Arabidopsis thaliana: one gene and its partners. The protein of the gene in region 1 interacts with the protein of each later gene in a pairwise test. Each region holds a gene or a part of one and is shown in the gene's direction. Other genes may lie near its edges.

Region 1 (9,187 bases):
TTTTTGGCTTAACAGACACTAGCGATTTCTTGATTGTTTTCAGGCGGAGAAGCGGTGGCACGGGAAGATATAATGGAAGCTATAGAGAGAGCGAAGTTCGGGATCAATGATAAGGAAGCGAGGCCAAGGACGTTAGGAAATGAACTCAGCAAGATGTTCCCATGGATGCCATCTTTGGCTAGAAGAAACGGACCAGATCAAGACGGTTTACAAGGACCGTTAGGTTATCAAACTCTCAGCTAAACCAAACCAAGACAGACCGGTTAGAGAGCAAATCCATTGATACCAAGTTTCTTTGTATCTGAAATTTTTGGAAATGTACGTTTTTTTGTGTGTTTACATTGCAAAGTCAATTGCTTTTTGGTTCGTAGTACCTTCCAATTTGACAAATCTCTTAGATATATTATTAACCTAAATTGCTCTTTTAAAACGATCTTCTTATACTTAAAGAGAAGTAATCCTAAGCCATTCGACATATTTGGTATCTAATTAAAGGCATACACTTTGAAATATAATATCTAAAATCTCGAATAAATGCTAAACAAAATTTCTAAAATATATGATCTACAGTATAATCCTAACTACAAACTACTACACAATATCCTTATCTGCCTTAAAATCGTGTATATCAATCAGAAAGATATGATAGTTAACCTATCTAATATTTTATAACATTCTACTTCACTATATATATATATATATATATATATATCAAACGACTCATTCGTTTTTTTTTTTTAGCAATGTCCCAATCAATTGGTAACCTTGTTTGATGCTAATCCAATAATCGAAATTCTTCCAAACATCTCTCTCATCCATTGAACATAAAACAGAAATCCCAAAACTATTCTTTTTCTGTTTTTAAATGATACTTTCTCGGAAGAAGGAGATGGAACTTCCTGCGACAAAGTTACGAATAGGACTAGTGATATTTCCTCTTATTCTACTTACGATAGCTCCAATCCTTTATCTCTTTTTTGGTTATCCTCTCTATTATTCAACATCAACATACAAACATTTATCGAATTCATCATCGTCGTCGGCAATATCTTCTCCATCTAGGTATAACCATTCATCATCATCATCAGATAGTTATAAGACAGAAGATTCAGAACCATCGTCGTATGATAATGATTACGACGACACATATCATGATCCCAAGTCATCATCTTTGCATAACAATGATCGTCTATCCATCTCATCATCGAATGGTCATCATCAAGTAACTCCTAAGAAAGAGCACCGCCGGAAAAAGAGAAAACGTAAATGCGATATATTCTCCGGCGAGTGGATCCCAAACCCTAAAGCCCCGTACTACACAAACACGACATGCAGGGCGATACACGAACACCAAAACTGCATCAAGTATGGAAGACCTGATTTAGGTTTCATGAAATGGAGATGGAAACCTAAAGAATGTGATCTCCCTCTGTTTGATCCTTACGAGTTTCTGGAAATAGTTAGAGGAACAAGAATGGCGTTCGTTGGTGACTCCGTTAGCAGAAACCACGTTCAGTCTTTGATCTGCCTACTCTCTCGGGTACCAATTCTCTCAATGCTTATCCAACTTTTTTATTTATTTTATGACAATACTTACTCGTTTAATACATTACTTGATGCAAAAGTAACCTTGGTTTAGATATTAATTTCAGGTGGAACATCCTGAGGGTGACTCACAACAGGAGTTTAATTTCCAACGATGGAAATACAAAACGTACAACTTCACGATCGCCACATTTTGGACAACACATTTGGTTCGCGCTGAAGAAACGGAAACCGGTCCGACAGGTCCTAATTCATTCTACAATCTCTACCTCGACGAACCTGACCCTACTTGGGCTTCCCAAATCGGTGAGTTCGATTACATAATCATCTCATCTGGACAATGGTTTTTCCGACCACTCTTCCTTTTCGACAAACAAAAAAGGATAGGATGTTTGTATTGCTACATTCCCGGAGTCAGAAATGTCGGGGCACATTTCGCGTATAGAAGAGCATTGAGAACAACATTCAAGACAATTCTTGGATTAGAGAATTTTAAAGGAGAAGTGTTTCTGAGGACATTTGCTCCTTCACATTTCGAAGGTGGAGAATGGGACAAAGGTGGAAATTGCTTGAAAACGCGACCATATAGGTATACATTGTTCATCCGACATTTTCTAAAATATTAGTTTCTTCTAGAATACTTTAATATTATGAGTTTTGTGTTTTTTTTGTTGTTGTTTGAGTTTTCATTCGTCACATCCTAATAGAAACGTCTATATATTCCTTTGGGTTTCTTTTGTGTTTATATAGGAGCAATGAGACAGAGTTAGATGGTATGAATCTAGAGACACACAGCATTCAACTCGATGAATTTCGCATTGCAAACAGAGACAAAAACAGAAATGACGGATTAAATTTGAGATTACTAGATGTCACACAGATGATGTTGTTAAGACCAGATGGACATCCGAGCAGATTCGGACATAAACGAGAAGATAAAGTTATCTTGTATAATGATTGTGTACATTGGTGTTTGCCAGGTCCAATTGATTCATGGAACGATTTTTTACTAGACATGTTGAAAAATAGAGATTTAAAGAGATTAAAATACTAGTACGTAGAATCTAAATTTTCTCAGTTAAACCCTTTTTGTTCATTTGTAATTATATACGAGTATGTTTGGTTACGATGTGGTATTTAGAAAGATCTCTTCCCTTTTTGGCACGGTTTTCATAATCAGATATAAGCTTTTAAGTAATTTCAGATCTTAATTAACACATTGAATATTTAATGATATGGATCTAATATAAGTTTATGGTACAAATGAAGTAAAATAGTCAACGTTTTCCAAGTAACATGTCAACCGTACATACATTAATGTATTTTACATCAAAAAGTCCATGCAATGATTTTAGAATTCAAATAAATAAAGTCTATTTGAATTAGGAAAATTATATATATTTGACACAAAATTAAAATTTATTAGTTTAATAAAAAGAATAATGGTCATAACGTATATATACAAATTATACAACTTTACAAACAAGAAAACAAACGAAAATAGTCAACCCACCATGCAAACGCTACCGTTTCTAAATTGGTTTTAATTATAAATCATCGGCGATCTACGCTACCGGTAACAAGATATCCAATTCCGTGGCGTCTCGCCGGAAAAACCATAAACAAAAGGCTACACATAACCCCAACACCCACCGGAACAATGTCCAAGACATGTTTCGTCTCTGCCTCCGGCGACGGATAAAAGCAATCAGTTATATACTTGTCTCTCAACGCAACCGCTCCAAACACTAAAACCGACAACGTAGCGTGGATCCAATCAACGAACCGCATCCGATATTTGGCTAAATCGGGTAAACCTAACCCGGACGGGTCAGGATAGTCAACGACCCACATGCCTTTGAACGTTACGAAACCGAAGTAGATAGTTCCATCGTCGGCTTTAACGCTATCGGTAAAGGAGCTGACGAAGCAAGACGCGGCTAAGAGGAAAAGGAGAACGGCGGTTAGGAAACGCGTTGCGTGGTCGCAAACGCCGTTTGAAGTGAAAACCGGCGTTAGGAGTTGAAACGCGAGGAGTGTTCCCGTTGGGAGTAGGTTTGAGAGATTGGCTGCTGACGTCAGGGTGTTTGACATGGCTCGCTGAGACATTGACATCTGTCTCTTGAGCACCCGGGATTCTGACGGTGTCTGATCGGATAACTCGTCGAGCTCCGGAGCCGGAGTGTTTGCGTTTCTTAGCCGAAGGGCAGACATCTTTTTAGTTTTGATTCTTTTCAGGTTTCGATCGTTGGATTGATATTGGTGAAGATAATGATGATGATGTTTTTTTATAGATGCTACGATATAGAAACAGCTAATGATAACTTAGTTTACGCATAGTGGACTGTCTGTATTTAAGTAATCTCTCTGTTCAGTTAACTTGTACGATAAACAACATTATACACGACAAATAATACAAGACTTTTTAAAGCTTTTAACAAGATAGAACATAATGCTGAAAACAGTGATTGAGCTAGATATAACTGTGTCATATTCTGCTTGTTCTTCGCACGCTAGTCCTTCTCTGTTCTCACGATTTAGGGTTTCTTTCCCAATGCTCTGTTTTGTTCATTTTCTTTCTTTGGATAAATTGCATACAAACCCTCAAAGTTTCCAGTCTTTTGCAAAGTTGTAGTTATTTTTATATTAAATATCATAAACAACTGATTGCCAAAACGTCGTCGCTCTTGCAAAAGTCCACAGATACTAGTAGTAAGTAAAGTATAGGAAAAGTGGACCAAAGAAACAAAACCCATACAAAAAAAGTCGAATCCAAATCTCTCTCTCCGGCGATCTCATCCATGGCGGAAGGCGGCGAAGATTCCCAGCGGTTGAAGAAAATTGCGGCGGCTGCCTTCGACTACGAAAACGACGCTCGATGGGCCGATTACTGGTCCAATATCCTCATCCCTCCTCACATGGCTTCTCGTCCCGAGGTCGTCGACCATTTCAAGCGCAAATTCTACCAACGCTACATCGTACTTACTACTATCTTCCCTACTCTTGAATTTGCTTATCCATTTTCTTCATTACTTTGAGTTTCGAGTTTGACTTTGTGTTGTGTGCGCTACTGATTTGGGGATTTAGTGTGGACTTTGAATCTTAGGTTTTACAAGTGTGGTTGTTGATGTTCTTTCTGCTAAATTGCTTAGTCCTTGGGTCCGAATCTCCTCGTGATTAGGTTATTAAGCGGAGGGTAGGGCTTTTCATTGAATATTCGTTAGGTCCTGTTTATAATATGTGAAGCCTTCGTGTTGTTCATCTTTGCTCTTCCCTATGAAGATGTAATCTGGATTTGTTTCTAAATCTAGGGTGCTTGCCATGTCCTTCTTTTTTGCAGGATCCTGATCTTGTTGTGGAGCCTATGTCGACTTCATCTTCGTCTTCACAATCTGCCAGGCCAACTGCTACATCTGCATCTTCAACTGCATCTTCTAATGCAAATGAACAAGTTCGTTCACGGAACTCAGGTCAACTTTCTTTGTCTGATATATTCTTGAACTCAAATGAGCTTTTCTTATTACTACCAAAAACTTACCTAATTGTGTGCCTCAGGATCGGTTCCTCGAACCTCTGGGCCATCTGCTACGACTGGTGCAACCCCAAGTTCAATGCGCTGGGATGAGCAGACGATTCAGTTTTCAGTCAATGCTTGGGTAAGATAAAGTTTTTCAGTTGCAGTTTCTTCCTCTTATTGCACAAGTTTAATAAAAAGATCTAGCTCTTGTTAGCCCTGTGAGTTGGGATTGTTGTTGCAATCTGCTGTTCACTCCTTAACTTCACGGACAGTAATGAGATGGTGCATAGTGTATTGTCTGTCTTTATGTTCTCCTGTCTTGCTGAATCTTTGTTGTGTACTTAGACATGAACTAGATGTGACAAATGCTTTTTTGTCTGGAATGCTTCACGTAACTTATCTCCCGTTTCATGTCTCTAAATCCATTACATTTTTGCAGGTTTTTGTTATAGCTGTGCTGGCAGTGCTACCTCTAATACCAAAGAACCTCTCAAATAGGGCTTATCGTCTATCTTTCATGGGAACTGCATGCTCATCTCTATATTCCTTATACTCCTTATACGGGGTACGCCATGTGAATTTCATGTTTTCTTTCTCTCTAGTGATCATGCAATGCGAAATTTTTGTTACTTATGAATTGTAATTTTATAATCTGCAGAGGCCAAGGGCATGGAATATGCAAGGGCTGCAAGTTTATTTTCAATCAATTGTGGCAGCAAAGGATTTCATCTACTTCATCTACTGCCTTACATTCGTCACTTCACATCTCTGTCTCAAGTGTAAGAATTTATTGAAAACTCTTTTGTGAATGTCTTCAAATCACGTACATTCTTATGACTAGTCTCATTATCAATCTGTTGCAGTTGCTTTGATTCCCATCTTGTGCCGGGCACTTGAACAAGTAGCCAAGTTCTTGAGGCGTAACTTTGGTCGGTCCACTATATACAGGTAGGTGCATCGAGCTGATTAGCAGGTTTGAATGTAGTAGTAGGTTCCATGTGTGGATTCTTACTGATGCTTATGTTGTACATGTGTCTTGTTCTGTAATGGTTATCAGAAAGTACTTGGAAGACCCTTGTGTGTGGGTGGAGTCAAACACTACTACCCTCAACATCTTGTCATCGCAGGCTGAGATAGCCATTGGCTTCCTTCTGATTATCTCTCTGCTCTCGTAAGCTCTTTGAACCTGTTAGAAGCGATAATAGTTTATTTTCGCACTTAAGTTTATATTCTCACTAAGTTCCCAGCTTTGCATTAGCTGGTTTCACTTATCTGAACAAAATTGTCATTTTACTTACTGCAGATGGCAACGTAACATTATACAGACGTTCATGTACTGGCAGGTACGTATCATCTTTTGGTTGTAGTCATCAGTTCTTTGTGATGGCTCAACATTCCCAAGTAGAACCCCTGTTTTCTTTGTTTAATTTGATCCAAGTGAACATATAGGAAGAATCATTTCCGTAATAACACCTTTTTTGTTGCTTTGATGATCTTCTGTCACTGAAAGTGTTACATGGGCTAAGACCATCAGGATAGTAATGAGAACTGTGTTTTGTTTTTTTTTGGTTAAAAATCTTGTGTTCTTGTTATAAAATCTGTCAAGTTCAAAAACCTTTTCCTCATATTCTTCCTAAAACAAAGATCTACTAGGTTGTTTGCAGGATTGTTGGTTGGATCTTGAGAGTTGTTCTCATGAACTGAGTTTTGTTATTTTGGTGGCAGCTATTGAAGCTGATGTATCAAGCACCGGTAACAGCTGGTTACCACCAGAGCACGTGGAGCAGAATAGGGAGGACGGTGACTCCGATTATCCAACGTTACGCTCCTTTCTTGAATACTCCGGTCAGTGCCGTTCAGAGATGGTGGTTCAGGTGATAAAAAGAAACAAAATGCAGAGGTGACTTTTGAAACCCTTTTGAAAAACCAGAAGATTGATTAAATAGCTTTCAACAATCCATGTTAATTTCATATTCAGCGTAAAGTAGATTCTTCTTCTCTTTTAACGTTTTCCTTTGGCTATCGCTGAAATAAAAATCTCTTATTACTTTTGGTTTCTAGTTTAGTTATATGTGACTAATTGCCTTTCCAGTTTCCACCTTGCCATTTTCATTGGTGAGATACTTCAAAAGTTTCTAAAAAAATAATAATAATAATATTTTATTATGATTTAGTTTCTGTCCAATTATAAACACATACATATACATATAGTCTCTCAATCATTACTCTAAAATTTCTCTGCATAAAAACAATTCTCAATCTCTCTCTTATCTCTCTCATACTTTATTATTATTTTATATTTTTTAGTCAATAAAAAATTATGTGAGAAATTACCGATGAAAATGTTCTAAATTTTATAATATCTGATTCCATGAGTGATTGTAGAACTTTTGCTCAAAAATAAAAATCATCTAAAATATCATCTGGCCCTAGAAAATCGGTTTCATTGTGTAAAATTATTATATATTGAAAGGGTGATTATTTAAAGAAATTATAGTTGATTGGTTGTGAGTCGTTTACACATGTGGATGAGTGTTTTTGTTCGAAAAAAGGAAATCTAAAATAATGTACATTGGGGGGGGGAGAGGAGTATTATTTAGATAAACCAAATTTGGGAATAAGGTATCTTAATCATTGATTCATATTCCCTTCATTGGTGCGCGTGCCACCGCTTAAATCACCGAACACGTTCCCAAAGTCTAGTACCAGCAAGCAATACCACGTGGCGTCTATGCACAACTATACGAAATACGAGTGTCGAGACATCAAACCACCAATAGCGTATTGTGTTCGAACGCAATTCTAATCACAATTTAATATATGGAGCGGGACCCTTTAAACTGCTGTTTAATACACAAAATAAGAAAAAGAACTCTTCAAAGTACGTAATCACTACTAGATTAAAGAAACCAAATCAGAATACTGTAACTTATTCACATTAATAATACTCATTAGGAAGGAAAAAAATTGGTAGAGAAGAGGACCGGAATACGACGTCGTTTTGACATTCCTCTGTGAAAAAGAGAGAGAGCCGCACATGAGTGAAAGCTTTTCAAATATTTGAAAATTGAAACAAAAAAAACAAGAACCGATCAATTATAAAAGCACAAGACACGAATAGGAGGAGGAGGATACAAAATTCGAGATCCAATCTTTCTCCGACTACTTTCACGGCGGAGATGCAGTTGTCTCCGGAACGATGCCGTCCGATGTCTGAAAACAGAGAGGCTTGGTCAGCGAATTCCGAGGAAATGGAGCTGCTTCACGGCTCCAACAGATTATCTTCACCGGAACATGTTCGTAGAAGAGTCTCCGGGAATTCTTCTGAGGACGGTTCGCCTCGAATTTGCCGGCAGCAGTCGTTCGGTCGCGACATAGGCCATGCAGCTGCCGAGACGTATCTCATTACTCGACTTAGCTTCAACCTTCTTGGATATCTCGGGTAAATTTCATTCCTCTCATGGCATCGTTTATTTGTTTTTAGCCGAGACGTATCTCATGTCCTGTTTCTAGAGCTCACAATTAGTCTTCTCGATGAATTATTCTTACCACAGTTTTATGATAACTAAATGAGTTTTCCGGTAATTAATAATCTTAGGACATGTGATGATGTTTCAATTTTTTTGTCGGAATCTCTGTAAGGAAAGTTTTGTTTTATTGTTGTAAGTTTTTGTTCAGGGTAGGTTACCGGTGGATCACAAGATTACTTGCTCTTGCTTGTTATGCAATGCTCCTTATGCCTGGTTTCCTTCAAGGTTACCCCATCTTCTTTGCTCTGTCTTATTAACAAGCTGTTTTTTGTACACTAACAAAGCTTTTGCTATTTCCTTGTGCAGTTGCATATCTTTATTTTTTCTCATCTCAAGTCAGGAGGAGTATAGTTTATGGAGGTCATCCAAGGAATAGGTATCTCAGTCTCTGCAATCTTGCCTTCTTCAATGATTGGTATTTAGTACATTTTATTCGATTATTCTGGCAGGCTGGATTTGTACATACCGCCAACGAGTGATGGCCTGAAGCCGGTTGTAGTTTTCGTTACTGGTGGAGCTTGGATTATCGGGTAAGCAATTCGTGGGCCTCGTATCGTGTTTAACTTTGATAATAATACACTAGCGTCCTTTGTGG
Region 2 (7,333 bases), on another chromosome or scaffold:
ATCATTAATGTCGGGTTTCTTTTGGAATGTTCGCGGCCTCAACAAATCAAATAAACATTCCGTAATTCAGAAATGGGTGGACGAGCAGAATTTTCAGTTTGGTTGTCTCATTGAGACGAGAGTTAAGGAGGAAAATTCACAGTGGTTGGGTTCTAAGTTGTTCAAGGATTGGTCCATGCTAACTAACTATGAGTTTAATAGAAGAGGTCGTCTTTGGGTAGTGTGGAGGGAGAATGTAAGGTTTACTCCGTTTTACAAGAGTGACCAGTTGATAACTTGTTCGGTGAAACTAGAAAGCCAAGAAGAAGAATTTTTCTACTCTTTTGTATATGCTTCAAACTTTGCAGAGGAACGAAAGATTTTGTGGAATGATCTTCGAGACCATATGGACTCTCCGATCATTCGTGATAAACCATGGATAATTTTTGGAGATTTTAATGAGATTTTGGATATGGATGAGCACTCTCGAATGGAAGATCACCCAGCAGTTACCTCCGGTATGCGAGATTTTCAGTCTTTGGTGAACTACTGCTCATTCTCAGACTTGGCATCTCACGGGCCCCTTTTTACTTGGTGCAATAAGAGAGATAATGACCCAATTTGGAAAAAACTGGATAGAGTTATGGTGAATGAGGCTTGGAAGATGGTCTACCCACAATCTTATAATGTTTTTGAAGCGGGAGGGTGTTCTGACCATTTACGGTGTCGTATCAATTTAAATATGAACTCTGGTGCACAAGTGAGAGGAAATAAGCCTTTTAAGTTTGTGAATGCTGTGGCCGATATGGAGGAGTTTAAACCTTTGGTGGAAAATTTTTGGAGAGAAACAGAGCCTATACACATGTCCACGTCGTCCCTGTTCCGGTTCACTAAGAAGCTCAAGGCTCTTAAACCAAAACTTCGAGGCTTGGCGAAGGAAAAAATGGGAAATTTGGTGAAAAGGACGAGAGAAGCCTATCTCAGTCTTTGTCAGGCGCAACAGAGTAATTCACAAAATCCATCTCAAAGAGCCATGGAAATAGAATCGGAAGCTTATGTTCGTTGGGACAGGATAGCTAGCATTGAAGAGAAGTATCTTAAGCAGGTATCAAAGCTTCATTGGTTAAAGGTTGGGGATAAAAACAACAAAACTTTCCATCGCGCAGCAACCGCTAGAGCAGCTCAAAACTCTATTCGCGAAATTCAGAAGGAAGATGGTAGTACTGCCACAACTAAAGATGATATCAAGAACGAGACTGAAAGGTTTTTTCAAGAATTTCTTCAGCTAATCCCGAATGATTATGAGGGAATAACAGTGGAGAAATTAACATCTCTATTGCCTTATCATTGTTCCCCAGCGGAAAAGGATATGCTCACTGCATCAGTTTCAGCAAAAGAGATAAGGGGAGCCTTATTCTCAATGCCAAATGATAAATCTCCGGGTCCAGACGGTTACACTTCTGAATTCTACAAGCGGGCATGGGATATAATTGGTGCGGAATTTGTTTTGGCAGTCAAATCGTTTTTTGAAAAGGGTTTTCTACCAAAGGGTGTTAATACTACCATTCTAGCTCTCATCCCAAAGAAACTGGAGGCGAAAGAAATGAAAGACTATCGACCGATATCGTGCTGCAACGTCATTTACAAAGTCATCTCAAAAATCATTGCAAATAGATTGAAACATGTTCTCCCGAATTTCATCGCGGGAAACCAATCTGCATTTGTAAAAGACCGGCTCCTAATTGAGAATCTGCTATTAGCCACAGAGTTAGTAAAGGACTATCACAAGGACACAATTTCGGGTCGATGTGCTATTAAAATCGACATTTCAAAGGCTTTTGATTCTGTTCAGTGGTCATTTCTTAAAAACGTTTTGTCGGCTTTGGACTTTCCACCGGAGTTTGTTCATTGGGTTATGCTTTGTGTTACTACGGCTTCTTTTTCGGTGCAAGTCAATGGAGAATTGGCAGGCTATTTTCAAAGTTCAAGAGGTCTACGTCAGGGTTGCTCTCTTTCCCCTTATCTATTTGTTATAAGCATGGATGTTCTATCAAAAATGCTTGATCAAGCAACAGAAGCAAAGCAAATTGGCTACCACCCGCGGTGTAAAAGTATTGGTCTGTCCCACTTGAGCTTTGCTGATGATCTCATGATCCTTTCGGACGGAAAAGTTTGATCTATAGAGGGTATTGTGAAAGTTTTTGACGTTTTTGCTAAAAGTTCAGGTTTAAAAATTAGTATGGAGAAGACAACCATATATCTAGCGGGAACTTCAGAAGTGTCTCACCAATGGATCAAAGACCGGTTCAGTTTTGATGTAGGGACTCTACCGGTGAGGTATTTGGGACTCCCTCTAGTAACCAAATGCCTAACCGCTGCAGATTACTTACCTCTCATAGAACAGCTTAAAAAGAAGATTGGGTCATGGACAGCTAGATTTCTTTCTTACGCCGGTCGCTTAAACTTGATAAGCTCGGTCCTATGGAGCATTTGTAACTTTTGGCTTGCTGCGTTCCGGCTCCCGCGAAAATGTATCAGAGAAATCGATAAGTTATGTTCTACTTTCCTCTGGTCTGGTCCGGATTTAAATTCTCACAAAGCTAAGGTAGCTTGGGACGATGTTTGTAAGCCGAAGAAAGAAGGTGGACTCGGTTTAAGGTCTATAAAGGAGGCGAATGATGTGAGTTGTTTAAAGCTGATATGGAGGATACTCTCTCGAGGAGATTCTTTGTGGGTAAAATGGGTTGAGACTTATCTTTTAAACACGGAAAGTTTTTGGTCTATCAAAGAATCGACAAGCAAAGGTTCATGGATGTGGTGAAAACTTATCAAGTTCAAGGATATGGCGAAGCAGTTTTGCAAAAAAGAAGTAAACACTGGCCGCAACACTTTTTTCTGGTATGATGACTGGTCTACCTTGGGCAGGCTGGTTGAAATTGCTGGAGATAGAGGGACAATAGATATGGGGATCAGTAGAAAGATGACTCTTGAGGAGGCATGGAATGGTAGACGTCAAAGACGACACAGGGATAATGTTCTCAATCAGATGGAGGAGGCTCTTGAACTCACACGACAACGTAGAAATGGAAATGATGACGTTACTCTTTGGAAAGGCAAAAATGATGACTACCGCCATTGTTTCTCGACGAAGGAAACGTGGAACAATACCAGAACAATGGGCATCGAGGTCCCTTGGCACAAGGGGGTCTGGTTCACTCACTCAACACCGAAGTTTTCTTTTTGTGTTTGGCTTGCAGTTTATGATAGGCTCTCCACAGGAGATAAAATGCTTCTTTGGAACAGAGGTTTGCAGGGGACATGTCTTCTCTGCAGAAATGCAACTGAATCAAGAGATCATTTATTTTTCTCTTGCAGCTTTAGCTCAGAAGTTTGGGAAATGTCAGCAAAAAGCATCTACAAGTCAAGCTACTCTACGGATTGGCGACACCTACTCACAAAGATTCAAGAAAACTGGAAAGATCGAGTAGAAAGTTTTATCGCACGGTATATCTTTCAAGTTTCAGTCTATGCAATATGGCGTGAGCGCAATAGGAGGAAGCATGGGCGCAACCCGAATCAAGCAGCTCAACTTGTTCGATGGATAGATAAGCAAATACGTGATCAACTTTCAGCAATCAAACTTATGGGTGATAGAAGATATGACCAAGGCTTTCAGTTTTGGTTAAAATCTAGTAGTTAACTTGTAAAGTTTAGCTCTACGCTTAGTCTCTTAAACACCATGATGCACTCGTTGTACAACCGACATTTTTTCTTTTGAGTATAATTTAACATTTTATTAAAAAAAAGAAAAAAAATTACAAGCACCAAAACCGTCTCTCCATGCAATAATCTCTTTGTTTGTTAAATTTGAAAGATTCTTAAACGTAAAATCTTTTAAATGGGCCTGTTAATCAAGTACTCAAGCCCATTATTGTGATTTTATTACAAGTTGGTAGTAATACTTCACTGACGTTCAAAAGTAGACCCATATTAGATTAGTCTCCTATCTATAAAGGGAGTCGTCGAGCCCATTGTGACGAGATATTTCTTTTGTTCAGTCCATGACTATTGTTTTATCTCTCGAGTCGATTATTAGATTAGTCTCGTGTCCTAAACTCCTAATCATTTTTGATTAGTGTGAATAAATAAATTTTAAGAACAACAAGTTACCCAATCATTTGAAAAAATGATACTATAATTCGCTAAACTTTTTTATAAAAGAAAAATTAAGAGCAATTGGGAACGAGAACGTGTTGAATAGTTGGGGACGAGATTACAAGCACCAATTCATCTTCAGCATCATCTCCAAATTCTTCTTAAAATTTTCTTCTTCCTCCTTTACCATCTCCAGCACCGGACCTAGTCAAAAAGTCTTTCTTCTCAAATGGATCAAAAGCCTCTTGGATTGCTCACGATCCACGTCAAGAGAGGGATTAATCTCGCCATTCGCGACCATCGTAGCAGCGATCCTTACATCGTTCTCAACGTCGCCGATCAGGTTCCATTTCTCCTTGAAATCGATAGAGAACAAATTGCCTTATATGAATCAAGTCTCCGAATAACGATTCTTCTCTGTTCCTGAATTGTTCATATAGATTCAGGATTTGGGTTTTCTTCAAATCCTCTGTTTTATCTCCTCTGCTTTGGTTTTTTTTATCAAATCCTCTGTTTTTATTTCCTCTGCTTTGGGTTTTCTTCAAATCCTCTGTTTTATTTCCTCTGCTTTGGGTTTTCTTCAAATCCTCTGTTTTGTTTTGTCTAATACAAAACCAAAAATGAAATCTTTCAGACATTGAAGACACGTGTGGTGAAAAAAAATTGTAACCCAGTATGGAATGAAGAAATGACTGTTGCTATCAAAGATCCTAATGTCCCAATCCGCTTGGTAAACTTAAAAAGATTCTCTCTTTTGATTCAGACAAAAGACAAATCTTGTTTTGTTCTGTTCTTGGGGATAACATTGTTGTTTTTTTGTTGAAATCGTTCAGACAGTGTTTGATTGGGACAAGTTCACAGGAGATGACAAAATGGGAGATGCGAACATAGACATTCAACCATACTTAGAGGCTTTGAAAATGGGGATGGAGCTTTTGAGGCTACCTAATGGGTGTGCTATCAAAAGGGTTCAACCATCAAGGCACAATTGTTTATCTGATGAGAGTAGCATTGTTTGGAACAATGGTAAGATCACACAAGACTTGATCCTTAGACTTAACAATGTCGAATGTGGCGAGATTGAGATCATGCTTGAATGGCATGAAGGTGCTGGTTGCAGAGGTATCACTTCCTCTTCCAAAGGTGGAGGCTCTTCCTCTACCTAAACTTATTATTGTTCTTTCTTTCTTTCTTTTTTTGTTGTTGTGTATCAATCTGTTGTTGTTGTTTCCATATGTATAAGCAACTCAAGTATGTTTTCTTGATGACCATTTTCAATGGCATAATCAAGAAGAAAAGCTGGAAAATTTGAGACTTTCTTTTGTATGTTTTCATTTGAATATCTTTTTGATTTCTCACTTTCTGTTTTGATTTTGTTTTGTCTTTTGCAATTTGCATTCTCTTCTATGACGTAGGCGTAGGCATGACCACGGTGTTTATTAACCATCGGTTAAGATTACAGTTGAATACAGTTATGGTTACAACGATTACGGTTAAATATGCTTTATGGTTATTTAATAACTACAATATATTTAAGAACTAGATAAGGCCCGCCTATTTAGGCGGGTGTACCCAAAATTTTCAAATACTCGAACGGGTCTAAACTTCAAAACCCGAAAAACTTGAACCCGAACCCGAATAGGTATTCAAACATATCTCAAATATAAGTATATATTAGTTATATTTATACTTATATATAGAAAATATTAGGATGTTTTTGATATTTTAGTTATTTTGTGTATTTTTAGATATATTCAAGCAAAACTACTCGTGTTGTTTTGGGAATTTTTGAAATTTTCAAGTAATTTAATAGATTTGCACACAAAATTTGATATTTCAATATATAAATAAACTCGAACCCGAACCCGACCTAAAATCTTAAATTACCTTAACGGGTCCTAAACTTCTAAACCCAAAAATCCAAACCCGAAATACCCGATCCGAATACCCAAACGCTTAGGGCTAATAATTAATAATAAAAAAAGAAATCCACAAAAATATTTAGAAACCAAACATTGTTGAAAATATATTTTGTATATATGTCGTAATCTTGTAAGTTAATTTTACATCATGCAAATTAATATTAAATGAGTTAAAATTAATAAATAAAAATAAATGAAAAGTTAAATCCTATAAGCTAAGCTATTTTTCTCAAAATGTTTTATTTTTCACTTATGATTACATGAGTTAAAGACAAATTTGTTAATTTTCTTTTTGTTGAATAAATGTAAATTGTTTATAAATATATAGACATATAAATTAGTATATGTAAATTTGTTTACTTTTTAAGATTTTCTATTTTTTTAGAGAATAAAAAAGTAAAATTTGGAATGACACATGTAAACATCTGATCGTTTTATTTTTCACTTATGATTACATGAGTTAAAGACAAATTTGTTAATTTTCCTTTTGTTGAATAAATGTAAATTGTTTATAAATATATAGACATATAAATTAGTATATGTAAATTTGTTTACTTTTTAAGATTTTTTATTTTTTTAGAGAATAAAAAAGTAAAATTTGGAATGACACATATAAACATCTGATTGTTTGACTTGACACGTGGCAAAATTCTATGAATTAGCAACTTTGAAAACCATACTTTATATAATAAGATAGACGCAAAACTTTACGTATCATCGAGCTTTTTTTATTGCTTTTAATAAGATAAAAATATGTTATAATTTTTTCATATGCAATATTATTTACTCTTTTTTGAAAACGGTTCGGGTACTCTCTGAAATACGGTTACGACTAAATTTTGGGTATGACTGACGTTTAAATTTTTTGTCACTTAGTGAACTATTTTATCCTTTCTATTGTGAATGATTTGTAATTTTGTAGTTATTTCGATATATGTATAAGCAATTAAGTGTGTTTTCTTGATGACCATTTCAATGGCATGATCAAGAAAAACATTTGGATAATTTGAGATATCTGCTTAGCCCAGGCCCATTGTAACATCTGTATACTCAAACCATAATTTATTTAAAAATGATTTTGTACTACGCAAATGAAAGATTCAAACACCCATACAAGTACACACACAAAGGGAGATGTATGATGATGATGATGATGATGATGATAGGTGATGACGATGGTTCGAAAGGGATTTAGGCTTTGAGAACATGCTCGTCCATGTCAGCAACAACGCTTTTGAGGAACTTCATGTAGTTGCTAGGCTCAGGCGAATCATCGG
Region 3 (8,430 bases), on another chromosome or scaffold:
ATATAGTGCTATTATCTTTGTAAATGGTATGACATATATTGTCTGAATGTTTAATGAGTAATGAGAGATTGATGAAACAAACAAAAACTTCTAAACTTTGAACTTGATTACGGTAAAATCTCAGCGACAGAAGGTTGATAGAATCTCACATTAAAAGTAAACTAGTACAAATCTAATGACAACATCTACTGTATCATCTAAATTCATGAAAAATAAGTCTAAAAAGGATAATAATAAATTACCACGTTAATGTTGAGCGGTTTCAAGCATAATGAACGGCCGTTAAGTGAAATGGGCCCTAAACTATAGTTTTTTTTGGGCTTCAACTAATCTGAGCTGGATTAACTTTAACGTAGGAGTGGTAAAGTTAATACATATAGAACTAATCAGTTTAAAGTTAACCATGACTTGAGTCACTAGAGATCTCATGCATCCTCCTAATTTTATATTTAATGAAAATTGTAACAAATTTCTCTTACAATTTTTTTTAAAAGCAAAACCTAATTTCTGTGCATAAATATATCTAACCTCGAATCCCAAAAATTGAATTATTGTTTCAGTAAGAAAAGAAACCCATAATTTAGGAAATAAACCGAATTCCCCTATGTAATAGAATTACGTACCAAATCATTGTTGCTGAGAGAGAGACGCTTGAACGCATGGAGACAATTTCGATATTTGAAAACTTGTTTACTAATATATTGTTAGATTTTAATAATTTGCATTTGTTGCACTAACCAAAAATTGCGACATATTACCTATAGTTTGTTTTTTTTGGGGGCAAATTACCTATAGGCTATATCACTGCATTTTGTAATCACACGTAGTCACATAGGACATATATATTGTATAGTTCTGTTTATTGTATACAAGAAAGTCATACTCGTGCTATGTTCAGTTATATGCCTTAATATTAATAAGCCAAATTTAACGATATAAATATAATTTACTAAGTTTTAGGACTTGTATATAAGTTGTACAGTAGTACTACTTGTTTAAAATTATACGTATAAGTGTATAATTTTTTTTTCTTTTCTTTTAAAAATTTAGTTTTATAATATTTTAAAAATATTCCTAGCAAAGAAAGAATAATTCATATATGCTGACTATCACGTCTAGTTGTAGTAGTAGCTACACAAATACTTGAATTTGAATTAATAAGTATATAGATAAATTGTACAAGTATCACCTATTATAAGTTTGCCAACCCTGTTTTGCGCATGATAATACGGCAGTAACAGTGTCCATAATCAATAATAACACAAAATCTTATTAAAAATTCGTATTTTATTTAGAAGAAAAAAACTAATTCATCTATGAAAATTAGAAGGAGACGTAACCGCTAACTAGTGTAACTGGACCTGCCTTCGGTGTTTGGTAAGATTCCGGTACTCTGTACAAAATGGCTGAAGCTAAGGCCCACACTATTTGACCGTACGTCACTGGATTGTTTCTCTAACGACTTTGATTCTTTTACTCGCTTGAGTTTGAATGTAAATGTCTGATTTTTTTTTAACAAAAAAGAATAAAATATATATCTACATAAATCTATAGTTTTCTAGCAATAATATTGTTGTCAATTTGTGAAATGTGATGGGTTGCTTGCATATGCAAAAGTCTCTCGATCGAAGTCTTCCGTTTATTATGAACCACACAAATGGTTTTAAGCAAGAAAAATATCTACGAGTAAGATCAATTTTGTTATGTGTAGAGATTATCATTTGTAACTTTATGTATTAATACAATTGCACGTAAAGCTTGACCTTCTAATAGAAATAAATTTGATAGGAAAAAATCTCTAATACCAATTGCAATTTTTTTGTTGTTGTAATATTGCAGTAAGCTCTCTCATTTAAGCCTTTGAACAAAAAATAAAATAAATATCAGATTTATTGTTGAGTTTCGCGTTGGTATTTCAAGAAAAGAATATGGTCTTTGGCTTTTGACCAAAAAAAAAAAAAGAATATGGTCTTTGGCTCTTTGCGACGCCTATATGCATATATGATATTTGTATGACTATAGACTCATAGTTAATTTATTTTCTATTCCATTTTAACTTATCAGTGTCACTAATCAAAGCTATTATTAAACGGTCTATTTTAAAACAAACCATTTTGTCTATATGCTATTTCATATACGACGATTATAATCGCTTCTTTAGAACTAATAGCCAATAATAATGTATATTTCGACTGTTCACCATACACCGCCACCTAATTCTTCTAAAACATTTCAATTCATTGACTAAATATCGTCATTATTTTGCTTACACATTTTGTATATGTTCCTCCAAATTTGTTCACTAGAGTTTTCAACTAGAACAAAACAACTACTCTGTTGGTGAAAGAATGAATATGCATGTGTGAAGTTTATTGCTCAATATGGATATAGAAGATGAAAAGAAAAAGAGTAAATTGATTTCTTTACCAAAACGTGTCCAGATGTTATGTCAATATGTAATTCTGACATGACCAGAACTTCTGTAACGCATTTAACAATCACTTCCGAAAATAACAAAAACAAAATTCAGGAAAGATGATGAAATTGTAAAAGACAGACTGTAATGGCGTCTATTGAGACAATGACTCAATCTGTCTTAAACCGGAAAGTTGACTCGTAAGCCATATTGATTATCTTTATTAAATTTTCCTTTTTATTCTCTTATTCTCTCGAAGTAGTAACTTTCTTTTGCATCAAATAAAGAAAATATGAAAACGCACCCCTAAAGTTTATCTTATTTTTTTTATTAGTGCCTCTAGTTTTCTAATGTGTAGAGTCAGTGACACACTTTCTTTTTACTTTATATCAAGATTTGATGATATCATATGATTTTAGACTTCTAATTAAGGTTTTTGTAAAAATTGTCACACTACTTTTTTGAATTCTTTCACTTTTTTTAACAAATGTTATTTAGAAAACATAGTCAATATACAGATCCTAAATGTAGATAAAAATTTACAATTTTGACTAGCAAGATCTGATTTGATATGTTTCTTATATATCAATTTTTACCCTTATTTGTTCCATTTTACTTTGATACTTTTTTTTATAGACAAATTTAGATAATTTTATTTGATAAGTCATAGCATTTATTTTTCTTATTTTTATACCAAAATTTATTATAAATACATTTTTCAAACAACACATATACAACACAAACTGTCATTAAAACCCAAATTTTATATATATATATATACCAAGCTGGTAATAATATGATATGATCGTAATTAGCAAACATGAGATCATGCAATAAAAGACTTAAGACAAAAAAATGTGCCACGCTGGTAATGCAAATTTTGTCGTGGTGTGTAGATAAACAAAAGTTTCAGACTTAAATCAAACATACATAAACGTTAAGGGTCTTACTTGCAAATTTGAGTTTTACCGGTAAAAAAAAGAGTAACAGGAAACGTAAAAAGAAGAAGAAGAACGCTCAATGGAGAAAAAACGTGTCCCGAAGTGGCAAATCACGCGACGAGTCTCTTCTTCTTCTTCTTCTTCATGCGTTTTCTCCTTCCTTCTTAAAAGCTCTCTTCTTCCTCCTCCTCTTTTACCAATACATCTATTAACTCTCTCTTCCCTCTTCATCAAGTTTCTCGAGGAGAGTGAAGAATTTGGTTTTAATTATTCTTTGATTACCCTTTTTGTGGTGTGGTTTTCGTTATTTCGAGGAGTGATAATAATACCGTTATGAGTCATCACTTTACATGTGTTTGATCAATTACTCTTAATTCACTTTCTGGGTTTCTTCCTTTGAATCTCTCCTCAAAGAAAAGAAAAGAAAAATGAAGGAGGAACAAACAAGATCTCTGTTTGGAATCTCTTTGTCTGATAAACCAACTTGGCAACAGTTTCTCATTTGCACTTCTGGTTTCTTTTTTGGTTATCTCGTTAACGGTGTTTGCGAGGTTCGTTTCTCTCTTTTTTGCAATTTGATTCGAGAATTTTGATACATAATCAATCAACGTTAATGTTTTTGTTTGTTCTTTGTCATAATTCCACATACCCAGCTCCTGAATCTCGTAAATTTATAATTTTTTTGCATTTTCAATCTCTTGCATGCTAAGTGTTTGATGTTTTGTTTCTGAGAGAAAAAAAAACAGAGGAAGAAGAAAAAATTGCATGACGAACTAAACTCTCTCCAAACTTGTGAGAGATCACAAAAAATCTGTGATCTTTGTAAAGAAAACAGATTTTAGAGAATGTGATTGGATCTACAAGTACTCATATATGATCATTGACTTGATTTATTTTTCTTTGGTTTTGCAGGAATATGTTTATAATCGTCTTCAATTTAGGTAAAAGTCAACTTTTGATTACTCTTTTAAGTTTTAGATTTGAACAAAAGTTAACAATGGGATTTTGCTCTGTCTTTGTAGCTTTGGGTGGTATTTCACGTTTATACAAGGATTTGTCTACTTGTTTCTAATCTACCTTCAAGGCTTTACCACAAAGCATATAGTTAATCCGATGAGAACTTATGTCAAACTCTCTGCTGTTCTCATGGGTTCACATGGTTTAACCAAAGGATCTTTGGCTTATCTCAATTATCCAGCTCAAATCATGTTCAAATCCACCAAGGTAATAGATCCACATTTCCCAATTACAGTCTCAATGAGTTTAAATTGAGTTTAAAGAATGATCGGAATGACCATCTTTCGGATGTTTTAGGTGTTACCGGTGATGATAATGGGAGCGTTTATACCCGGTCTTAGAAGAAAATACCCAGTCCATGAATACATTTCAGCGTTCTTGCTTGTTCTTGGTTTGATCCTATTCACATTAGCCGATGCGCAAATGTCTCCAAATTTCAGTATGATTGGGATTATGATGATAACCGGTGCATTGATCATGGATGCTTTCTTGGGTAATCTGCAAGAAGCTATCTTCACAATGAATCCTGAGACAACTCAGGCAAGGAAACTAAAGAAAACACGGTTCTTTCGGTTTTCCTTTACCGGTCTGTTTTGTTTCGTTTCTGAGATTAACTCTTGTTATGTGTGTTGTGCAGATGGAGATGCTTTTCTGCTCAACAGTTGTTGGATTACCGTTCTTGTTCGTTCCCATGGTTTTAACCGGAGAGGTTTTTCGTGCGTGGACTGCGTGTGCACAAGTAAGTAAACAACCTCTGTTCTCTTTTTTCTGGTTTGACTTTTGGTCAACCTTTAACCAAACCAAGTTAACCTTATGAGATAGTCGTCCATTTTAAGTGAAAGTGACAAAGAGTGGAACCTTTTATTTGGCTTTGAAAGTACTTCTATAGATTTGACTCGGTTTATGATTCAAACCGGAGTTGGACTCAGTTTAGAGAAAAAGTCAAAATTTGTAGGATTCTTGGTACCACGAAATGAGAGAGATCATTGACCGACGACGTGCCTCTGAATCTGCCAAACTTTTTAAAAGCCAAATTGTCTCTTTTAAATTCATTGATTCCATAACTTAAGTACCAACGTGGAATATTTTATAGTCAAACGGTTTAATGATTCATTGGTTGACATATTTAAAACCAATTGTGCTTTGTTTATATTTGCAGCATCCGTATGTGTATGGAGTGCTTGTATTTGAAGCCATGGCCACATTTATCGGTCAAGTCTCCGTTCTCTCGCTTATTGCTCTCTTTGGAGCCGCCACAACTGCCTTGGTAAATATCTAATCTTATCTTTGAATACTCATTTGTATTTTAATTGACTCAATGGTCTAAAATCACATTTCGTTGTGTGTAGATAACAACGGCTAGGAAAGGGGTTACATTGTTGCTGTCGTATTTGATATTCACAAAGCCGTTAACGGAACAGCACGGATCAGGCTTGCTGTTGATAGCAATGGGGATTGTATTGAAGATGGTTCCAATGGATAGTAAAGCTCCGGCCAAGATTCCGGCGAGACCAGCGGTTAGGATCGCAGGAGGCGATGGTGATAGAGAAGAGGACGAAGAAAGGAAGTCATTGGTTTGAGAATGTGCCATGTATTTATATATATTTTATCTCACAAATTCAAAGGGTTTATAGAATAATGTTGGATGAAGGAGACACAAAATAGAGTTAAAGTTGTGTCAGAGACTTGTTATTAGATTCTAAAGTGAAATTGCAAAAGATTGAGCTGTTAAATTGTTAACTATGATATGAATTATTTTTGTCATCACTCTCAGAAGAAAGCATTATTCGTCTCAAAGCCTATTCATAAAGCGGGAAACGCTAATGACTACATTCTAAACGACAGGATCAGTGAAGAACCTGATTCTATCTAAGATCCTCCAGTTTCTTTCTCTGATCTATGAATAACAAACTTATCGACAATCTTTACGGTGTTGACAGGATCCTGCTGCAATGTTGTTGCACACCATTTGCTTGGAAACCTTCTGTGATGACTCATTTTCACAGTCGATCTCGGCTCTGCATCCCAGTCCTTGTCCAGCTTCCATTCCTTTGGCACCTGTACTCATTCATCACATACACTCCTCTGTTTAATTCTATAATCACAAACTTTTTCTTTTGTCATTTCGAGAGTTGTTTTTCTCACCTTGTCTACTCCGAGAGTGAAGACTTCAAGGTCTCCATCAGGTTTGATGTTGGAAACGGGTGAATGATTTGTTAATTGGCGATCCGAAGTGAAGAAAATGCTTCATCAAAGTGTATGTGAAGCCAGTTGATGGATATATATAAGTAACTTCCAAAAACCAAAGATACAACAGGGGTTGAGAAGAACCCAAAAGTAGAGGAACACAGAAGCATAATAGATGGCTTGCTCCGCTTCGAGAAAGTGACTCCCATTCCTTTCTCGACAGATGTTAGTCCGTGTAACCGCCATCACCTATGTCAAATACTTTACTTTCGGCTGAAAAATAGTTTTCTATTTCAGCTAAAACGAAGGCTAAGTTGACGATTTTACCTCGGGAATATCAAATGCTGACATAAGATACTTGATGCAGGCAGGATATAATCCGAACGTCCACTGCTCAATACGGTCTCGGAGGCCAGTAGGGTCCGGAAAATGTTCATTTTCTACTGATTTGTACCACTGATACAATGTATGATACCCTGTGTAGCAAAAAGTTTGAAAATCTCAAAATCCATTAAGGTTTGATCACAGATACAAAAAAATATCAATTAAAGTAGGATCACATATTTTTTGTCCACTTGTGTCAATGACATTGTAATGAGGAAAGCCACAACATTCTATGGAAAGGAAACTGACCGGAGTTTGCAAGGAGCTTATGCTGAATACAGATTTCTATGCCGAGTTCCAACAGCAACATAAGAATCAAAGCAGCCATCAGGTGTGCAGAAACATGAAGAATTCCAATTAACAGTCGTTTCCTCCGAGATATTTTTGAGGGAACAAACATAATTGCAGTTATTAGCAACATAAGAACCCCGGTGAAAGACACATATGACTGCTCTGTTACATACACAAAGGAGCTCCAAACTGTGCCAAAGAAACTCCCCAAGTGGCCAGAAAATGAATCGCCTCGTAAGATATGGCCTAGCTCACACTGAAACCAACAAGGAATGAAGATAAAAACTTTCTCGTGAGTGCAAGTGAGCATAAAAATTTCTTCGCACAGGAAAAACACTACTACAGATATGCAAGGCCTGTCTCAGTTTGACCATTTAATAGTGGATGCTGACAATGTGTACCATTTTAACAAAAAAGTCTTAATGACCAAGTCAGGCTGCATTGCTGAGAAAATAAATATAAAATGGAGAAACAAGAAACAGTTCATATGAAAAAGAGTTTGATAAAGTCAAAGATGTGTAAAACCGCACCTGAGGGAACAAGGAAAAGACCAAGAGAAAGTATATGATGCCACCAATGAAATCAAATTGCCAGTTCTTTTTCCTGAACTTTAAAATATTTCCCAGAGCAATCTGCAAATAACAGCAAACAACATAAAATATCAGAATGCAAAGAAAAGAAGGCGAATCAGTAACCGTGGATAAGAGGTTCAAGAAACAAGAAAAAGTTTACCCTGCTTGAATCTTCAAATGAAGGATAGGCAGATTTACTTTCATAAGAAGCACCATAAAACTTTGAAAAGCAGCGGAACACATGGGTGGGATGCAAAAAAGCCCCTCCACAGCCATTAACAAGGAGATGTGGGACATGAACAGGTCCATCTGATTGAGTACATGAATGACGCATATAATGATGCAAATCTCCTGCCATTCTAAGTTTACACCTTCCTTTCAAAAATTCGAATATCAGGTGTCGCATGTTCTTTCCAGTATCGTCTTTCCAATACCAATCAAGAAGCCAGTTCGGCTCATGTGTGATAATGATCACTGCATCATTCTCCCCAACCTAAATGAAAAGATAAAAACATTGATCAAAGCAACAAAATTAGAATTCAATAGTATCAAACAGAAGACACCAACTCTAATATTGTCGTTTCACAAACCAAAGAAAAACCCAAAACCAATATCACAGAAC
Region 4 (7,488 bases), on another chromosome or scaffold:
TACGTATAATATTTTTTTATTTAACTTATTGAAAATTTTATATAATCTTTTTAAAAAACTAAAATAAAAATAAATAATCTAATGTGTCTACAAATACACAACATTTACGTACGTAGTAGTATTTACTTTATATGTTCCTAACACCTCAAATCCGCAACTATTCGCGGCCTACTGCCAGCATGGGTCAGTGCTTTAGCGTCCACTGTTCGAATAGTTGCATCCAACAAAAAACATAACAACTCTAAATAGAAAGTTCTATATTACTACTCAATTTACGTGTTTTTTTGTGTGTGTGGCGACGATACATGATACTTGGCACATAATTTCACCCCGCACGTGGACATGATAAGAAAATACGTATAGACAAATTAAATTAAGTATATATATATGTAAATGACAAAGTATTAACACTTTATATATTATTTTATACCTATTATGTTACTCTCTTTTTTTCTATATCAAAAGCTATTAAATTACTTTTGTATCGTACGAAAACGCATGAACTTATTGAGGGACCACGCTATCGAGGACGATAAGGTCGGTCAATAATGTGAATCATAAGAACAAAAGCATTAGTTAGTACACTTATTCTTGTCGGTATTTACCTTGAAAATTTATATAACATCCAAAAAAAATGGTAAGAAAATACTTATCTCACGTAAACATCTTTTGTTCATTGATGAAACATTTTCCAATAAAGGAGTTACGTATTAGAACGTGTTCTGTTTAAGAGATAAAGAGATGTGCGTAGAAAAGGAAGAGATACGCAAGTGGTCAATATAGATTATTGACAATGAGATTGTCCAATAATTGAGTGTTTGAGTTTCTTGATGATTTAGCTAGCTAGTTGGGTTTTAGATTTGGTCAGTATCACAGTGACGTTACGTATATAATAATAGTTACTTTTCTAGTGTCTGTTTCATTCACAATTATAGAATTATGATCGCATCCAACTTGTTAATTTCTCTTGCACTTTTTTGTCTTTTTCGTAATTAGTTAAACGTTGAACTTAAACTGTTACAAATGCTCATATTACTATATTAGGGTTACAACAGAAATAAATGATATTAGGTTCTACGTCACTGTCACTTTCACCTAATCAAGGTAACATCACTTTTCAATCATATGAAGTCAAACCTAATTAAGACTATTGTAAACTTTATTAATTGTTTGTATTTGTTCGCATAACTTCAATCTATATATCCCACACTACTGTTTGCTTTCTTCAATATTAATTAACAATCATTCAGTTTCAAGTTATATATTATAGAATATCTAATAATGAAGAATCGGTTTCAAAATTAATAATGACTGATTATAATTACATTGACAACATGCAGGGACTAATAACAATTACACTCACAGCATCGTTTCCTCAACTCCACCCAGCATCATGCAACAGCCAGGACCCACTCAGTTGCGGCGGTCCGAATAAGCTCCAGATCGGAGTTTTGCTATTGGGACTCTGTTTCCTCTCCGTAGGGAGTGGAGGAATACGACCTTGTAGCATCCCTTTTGGGGTTGATCAGTTTGACCAACGAACTGAGGAAGGGGTTAAAGGAGTGGCCAGTTTCTTCAACTGGTATTACATGACTTTCACTGTGGTTCTGATCATTACACAGACCGTAGTTGTGTATATCCAGGATCAAGTCAGTTGGATTATCGGTTTTAGTATCCCTACCGGACTCATGGCTCTTGCGGTTGTTATGTTTTTTGCCGGAATGAAGCGTTATGTCTACGTTAAACCAGAAGGAAGTATATTCTCTGGGATCGCTCAAGTTATCGTGGCAGCTCGTAAGAAGCGAAAGCTGAAACTTCCGGCGGAAGATGACGGCACTGTCACCTATTACGACCCAGCCATCAAGTCTAGCGTGTTATCCAAGTTACACCGCAGTAACCAATTCAGGTACTTAATATATGATTTTTGTTTTTATTTTTTGCTTATCACTTTCAAGGTGGTTTTAAGACAACACTGATTACATGATTTTGTATTAACCTATAGTCTAACTGAAATGGCATAAAATTAGGTGTCTTGACAAAGCCGCGGTGGTTATAGAAGGTGACCTAACACCCGAGGGACCTCCCGCAGACAAGTGGCGGTTATGCAGCGTCCAAGAAGTGGAAGAAGTGAAGTGTTTGATCCGAATTGTTCCTATCTGGTCGGCCGGAATAATCTCACTCGCGGCCATGACAACACAAGGCACTTTCACGGTCTCTCAAGCTTTGAAAATGGATCGAAACTTAGGTCCTAAATTCGAGATTCCGGCTGGTTCACTCTCCGTCATCTCTCTCCTCACAATCGGCATCTTTCTTCCCTTCTACGACCGCGTTTTTGTACCATTCATGCGGCGAATCACCGGCCATAAATCCGGAATCACACTCCTCCAAAGGATAGGAACAGGGATCGTTTTCGCGATCTTTTCTATGATCGTTGCGGGCATTGTGGAGCGTATGAGACGCATACGCTCCATCAATGCCGGAGATCCAACGGGAATGACTCCAATGTCGGTGTTTTGGCTTTCGCCGCAGCTAATTCTCATGGGACTATGTGAAGCATTCAATATCATCGGACAAATTGAGTTCTTCAACAGTCAGTTTCCAGAGCACATGAGAAGTATCGCTAACTCTCTCTTCTCTTTATCGTTCGCCGGTTCGAGCTACCTTAGTAGTTTCCTTGTGACTGTCGTTCATAAATTCTCCGGTGGGCATGATCGTCCGGATTGGCTAAACAAGAATCTCAACGCGGGAAAATTGGATTACTTCTATTATCTGATTGCGGTTTTGGGTGTGGTTAATCTGGTTTACTTTTGGTATTGTGCTCGGGGATACCGGTACAAGGTCGGTTTACCGATTGAAGACTTTGAGGAGGACAAGTCCTCCGATGATGTTGAGATGACTTCGAAGAAATCGATGAAATGATTTAATAGACTATCCTTAGGGACAACAAGAAGATTGTCGATGTTGTTTGAATAATTACTATGACAATGTATGTATCATAATATGTAAGAACTAGAATATTTAATAAAATTTTACCTTTCATTATGTAGAAGTGTTAGATATAGTTCACAGTTTTGTCTTATTTTATAACTTTGTCATCATACTCTCTGCCTGGAATCAGAAAACCATCTCTAACAAGTATATTTAAAATCATAAAAGTAATCTAGTTAGATGGATTGCATTTGGAACTATATCATATACACTATGTTATGACTTGATAGAAATATAAACAGTATAGTTTTAATTGATCATTTCTATGGAGGATCACGTTATTAGGCATAGTTTCATCCTTTATCGATTACGGACGGTAAATGAGTACAACCCAACTAATATGTTGTAAAGAAAAGCTACTACTGCTATTACTGTTAATATTAATATTAGACTTCTTGGGTACATAAAAAAAAAAAAAATATATATATATATATATATCATATTAGACTTCTAGAACACCAAGTCCAAAACATATTTGGCATGAAGCAAAAATATCTACTGCTTTATTTTGTGTCTACCTCTTTGCCACATGCTGTATATTCCATCATTCATTTAACCTACAATTGAATTCCGTTTTAACGTTTATTCACTCAATTAATATATTGGGGTTTGACAAAAATAAATAACTAGTATATAGGTTTGTATGCTTTTTTACTGTTAGCTAATAAATAGAAAATCCAAAAGAAGCTTTCATACAAAATCAACTAAATTAAAATGAAAAGTTATAAGGGAATCATATATTGTGAAAGATTTGGAATCCTTTTTTCACGGCTGTAAAAGGGTCAAACACTTCTGCTGCCACCATTGTTGTCTCTCTTGCGAGTCTAAAAAGTAACTCACACTAACGAAAAAAAAAAAGATAGAAGAGAGATAGCTGTGGATATCACGTTGAACTTAAAATTTAGGTTGCATAATCAGTGGATGGATAAATAAATAGAAATAAATTATATCCTAAACTTAAAACAAACAATATAATAAAACGTTTTATACAATTCCAGATTTATTCAATATATTGGATATGACTCATGCGATAGATATAGCGTAAGACAGCTATTTAGAATTCCAATTATAACTTTATAGTTTTCACGAACTGATTCTAGACAACTTGATTTTTAATTTGGACTTTAAGATTACTAAAGTAGGTTTACATGCAACTTTCCGCTTACTTCATATGATAGTTTTGCGCTACAACTTAGAGCCAATAGAAAATGTAGTGTTAAAATTGGTTACGAATTACGGCTACTTGGTCCACCAGAGAATATTTGACGTTATATATAAAAGCCAACTCTTCCGCTCTCCTTGTGCTCAAACTAAGAGCTTCTACTCAAAACCATTTGCTTCTTTCTGCTTAGAGAGAGAGAGAGACACACTCAATGGGTGCTAACGTTTCTACTCCAGACCAGAGATTTCAGGTAACCCACTTCCGTTCAACGAAGCCATGGACACCTCGACCTGAGATTTATCCTTTCAAAGTCAACAGTCCTTGTATTGTGGAGATCAAGAACATGAATCAGTGGAAATCTAGGCTCAACGCTCTTAAAGACACCAACAAGCTGGTAATATATTGACTAATGCGATCTATAATCTAAGTTAAGCCATTTTTGCTTTAGATTCTATTTTTAAAATTTTAGAAAAGTATTCGAACTAGGGTTCTTATAACCAGATTCGAGACATTTATAACATAACAATAATGCATTAACTTATATGAACTTCCAACTCAATCTAAATGGTAAATAAGTAGTTTGGTCCATATTCATCATATTCCAGATCTCAGTTTAAAGATGAGGTGAGATTTTGAACACAACTCACAAGATAATGACTCTTCTGGCTCATCTAAAAAAAAACTCGCTCTAAAGTCGAATCATATCCCTTTTGGATCATTCTATCGAGTCAAAGTTAGGCTATTATAGTTGGCTGCAAATGGTTACATATTTCAGTGAAACAAAAATCCTCTCAAATTTTACAGTTTGGGATTCAAAAAAAGAAGAGTGAAATAAATTATGCATCCCATTCAACGTTAGTTGGATGAGCAAATCAGAGAAAAATGAGATAAACCAGTTGAAAATTATCACTCGCAAGTTATTCAACCAATTACTCTTTTTATCTTATTATTTTGAGGGACAACCATATTACTCTAGGTTTCTTCTTATTTTCGAGTTGAAACTCCTAGCACAATGCAACTAACCTTGCTCTTAGGCTTAATTTGAAAATATCATAATGAACATTCACTTTTCATGTTTTTTATATAGCTGGTGATCGAGTTCACAGCTAAATGGTGTGGACCATGTAAAACCCTTGAACCAAAGCTCGAAGAGTTGGCTGCTAAATACACCGATGTTGAGTTCGTGAAGATTGATGTCGATGTCTTAATGGTAATAAATAATCATTCTCCTTTTCTTCATCTTTTTTCTCAAAGTCTAAAGAAAAGGTTTCAACAAAATTTGTGTTTGCTTTTGAGTTATAAAATAGTGTTTGGTTGATATACAGAGCGTGTGGATGGAGTTCAACCTTAGCACTTTACCTGCGATTGTATTCATGAAAAGAGGCCGAGAAGTAGACATGGTTGTGGGTGTGAAGGTTGATGAGTTAGAGAGGAAACTCAATAAATACACACAATCCTTCTTCTGAACGTTGAATTCCTAACACGCCAAACAAAACTCCTCATCACCTTACGCCAAGAATATATAGTTTACTACTATGTATAGATAAAATGTTTGAACGACGATTCAACAAAATAAAACTTGTTTGTGTTGTAAAGGAATTGGATGTTGGATTTGCTATGTACGTGTCTCATGTAATATAAAATATATGATCAGCGATTTGTATCGTTTTTTCTATCTTTCATATGATTTTTTGAAATAAGTCAATAGCTCTTTAGTAGAAGAACAATTTAGTAACACATTTTATCAAAGTGGGAGAGTTGGTGAAGACTTGCGCAATGATTGGGTTACACTTTAATATTTAAAAAAAAAAAAAAAACTTTTATAGTACAAACAATTTTTTATGGCGAATTCACATAAAAAATGGGAGGACGAAACTTAAATGCTTCGTTTACAAAATAAGCTTATGTACAATAAAATGAAAGATTAAATCAAATCCACAATAATAGTCTATCTGAACTTTCTATGATTAATTCCACACTCGTATCTAATGGAGGCAACTAGGCAAGGACCAAACTCTCAATCTTGAGCCTAATACTTCAACTACTAGTCTACTTATATAATACATTCGAAATAAAGGGGAACCACACAGCTTGCCGTTAAGTACTTGAGGGTACTAGAATGACATGCATTGTTCCACTATTAGGTGGAAGTTGCAAACGAAGAGGAAACAGCTTGCCGTTTGAAGGATGGCGTGTACAGACCACAACATCATCCATACTAGTCTCTTCTTGCAACGCCTGCGTCAACTGTTCCACGCTATTTCCTTTGAAAGTCAACGCATATCCAACGGCTGATTCTTCCTCCACGTGTCCTTCTTCGTCCGCGATGTGGTAGTAAATAGGCCTCCCTTCAGATTTCGGTGGCGGCACGGTCAACTAGTCAAACCAAAACCAAGAAAATGTTAAGACGATAATCTTGACAAAATCTGATAGATATTTTCGTAATACAGTTTACTAAAATCTTTGGATATTCTATAAATATCTAAAGAAACAATATTTTAATACCATCCCTTCACTAGTTTTTTCAGATATTTAGAATTTTGGATATTATTTTCAGTTTTTATTTCCGCAGATAAATGTTAAAAAAAGAAAGTGAAACAGTGTAACGGATAATTTTCCTAGTCGAATTAATTAATACCTCTTCTTCGGATTTTTCTGAAGATGTTCTAGAAACCGGAGAATACGTGTACGACGGCCTCCTATGTGGCGGAGGAGTTGTCACCGGAGCTGGAGCTGGAGCCGGAGTCGTCGTTCCCACCAAAATCTCAACCACATCAACATCCCACAAGAAAGAATCCAATACATGAGAAGTGTCATGCGTGACAGAGTTACGCCATGGAGGAAGTCCACCGTTGGCTCGAAGCAAGTTTCCGTATCTAGTCTTGAGCTTCATTTTGGAACCTTCTCTCACCGGTTCCCACTCTACGGAGGAGTCGAGTCGAGCCGGTTTAGACAAGACCACTTTACGTCCAGTGGCTCCGAGCAAGAACCGCTCATTCGAAGCGGTGAGGTAGTTACCGTAGCAGCTCCTTAAACGGATCACTTCAAAGGAACCACGAACCGGCTCGACAATCCATCTAGCTCTCTTGTCGGAACCATTCCTGTCTTGAGTCACCGTTTCCTCGTCCTCATCCGCTGTTAGATACTTATCATGGACGTTACGCATCCTTACGGCTTTAGCTTGATTGAAAAAATCCATCTTCTAATACTATGCGAATACTATTTCTTTCTTGTTGAAGCTTAAGAAGTGTCTTTTTTTGCACAAGACGAATTAATGTGGAATGCAATGTTTGGTGTTGTATTTATTATAGGAGACTTAAGTCCAAAGCGGTGCGCCG

The links.
Region 2: the proteins of AT3G02420 (region 1) and AT2G01540 interact in a protein complementation assay, tested with the Arabidopsis thaliana proteins (one large-scale study listed by BioGRID).
Region 3: the proteins of AT3G02420 (region 1) and UTR2 interact in a protein complementation assay, tested with the Arabidopsis thaliana proteins (one large-scale study listed by BioGRID).
Region 4: the proteins of AT3G02420 (region 1) and TH8 interact in a protein complementation assay, tested with the Arabidopsis thaliana proteins (one large-scale study listed by BioGRID).

Annotation. Positions count from the first base shown.
Region 1 is NC_003074.8:493,932-503,118, reverse strand, and holds AT3G02420 (dihydroflavonol 4-reductase/flavanone protein), read left to right. Parts: upstream 1-4,154; 5' UTR 4,155-4,346; coding exon 4,347-4,523; exon of another isoform or gene 4,524-4,741; intron 4,742-4,885; coding exon 4,886-5,015; intron 5,016-5,100; coding exon 5,101-5,201; intron 5,202-5,501; coding exon 5,502-5,627; intron 5,628-5,720; coding exon 5,721-5,841; intron 5,842-5,925; coding exon 5,926-6,010; intron 6,011-6,119; coding exon 6,120-6,233; intron 6,234-6,365; coding exon 6,366-6,405; intron 6,406-6,787; coding exon 6,788-6,940; 3' UTR 6,941-7,235; downstream 7,236-9,187. Other genes in the region: AT3G02450 (cell division protein ftsH), read left to right, coding at 44-243; TBL20 (TRICHOME BIREFRINGENCE-LIKE 20), read left to right, coding at 866-1,540, 1,653-2,134, 2,296-2,599; AT3G02430 (transmembrane protein, putative (DUF679)), read right to left, coding at 3,100-3,759; ICME-LIKE2 (alpha/beta-Hydrolases superfamily protein), read left to right, coding at 8,242-8,504, 8,741-8,817, 8,899-8,968, 9,042-9,122.
Region 2 is NC_003071.7:240,264-247,596, reverse strand, and holds AT2G01540 (Calcium-dependent lipid-binding (CaLB domain) family protein), read left to right. Parts: upstream 1-3,947; 5' UTR 3,948-4,363; coding exon 4,364-4,477; intron 4,478-4,768; coding exon 4,769-4,864; intron 4,865-4,967; coding exon 4,968-5,300; 3' UTR 5,301-5,556; downstream 5,557-7,333. Other genes in the region: MLP329 (MLP-like protein 329), read right to left, coding at 7,248-7,333. UniProt on the Arabidopsis thaliana protein: Stimulates the GTPase/ATPase activities of Obg-like ATPases. Mediates the transient calcium-dependent interaction of PYR/PYL/RCAR abscisic acid (ABA) receptors with the plasma membrane and thus regulates ABA sensitivity.
Region 3 is NC_003075.7:12,057,842-12,066,271, reverse strand, and holds UTR2 (UDP-galactose transporter 2), read left to right. Parts: upstream 1-3,413; 5' UTR 3,414-3,785; coding exon 3,786-3,908; intron 3,909-4,269; coding exon 4,270-4,298; intron 4,299-4,379; coding exon 4,380-4,581; intron 4,582-4,671; coding exon 4,672-4,914; coding exon of another isoform or gene 4,915-4,937; intron 4,938-4,983; coding exon of another isoform or gene 4,984-5,011; coding exon 5,012-5,113; intron 5,114-5,196; coding exon 5,197-5,337; intron 5,338-5,533; coding exon 5,534-5,641; intron 5,642-5,689; coding exon of another isoform or gene 5,690-5,723; coding exon 5,724-5,954; coding exon of another isoform or gene 5,955-5,965; 3' UTR 5,966-6,088; downstream 6,089-8,430. Other genes in the region: AT4G23015 (uncharacterized protein), read right to left, coding at 5,690-5,965; AT4G23000 (Calcineurin-like metallo-phosphoesterase superfamily protein), read right to left, coding at 6,625-6,810, 6,889-7,037, 7,195-7,492, 7,767-7,868, 7,969-8,301.
Region 4 is NC_003070.9:26,317,179-26,324,666, forward strand, and holds TH8 (thioredoxin H-type 8), read left to right. Parts: upstream 1-4,219; 5' UTR 4,220-4,361; coding exon 4,362-4,544; intron 4,545-5,237; coding exon 5,238-5,360; intron 5,361-5,475; coding exon 5,476-5,616; 3' UTR 5,617-5,824; downstream 5,825-7,488. Other genes in the region: NRT1.7 (nitrate transporter 1.7), read left to right, coding at 1,341-1,906, 2,028-2,919; AT1G69890 (actin cross-linking protein (DUF569)), read right to left, coding at 6,248-6,526, 6,789-7,349. UniProt on the Arabidopsis thaliana protein: Probable thiol-disulfide oxidoreductase that may be involved in the redox regulation of a number of cytosolic enzymes.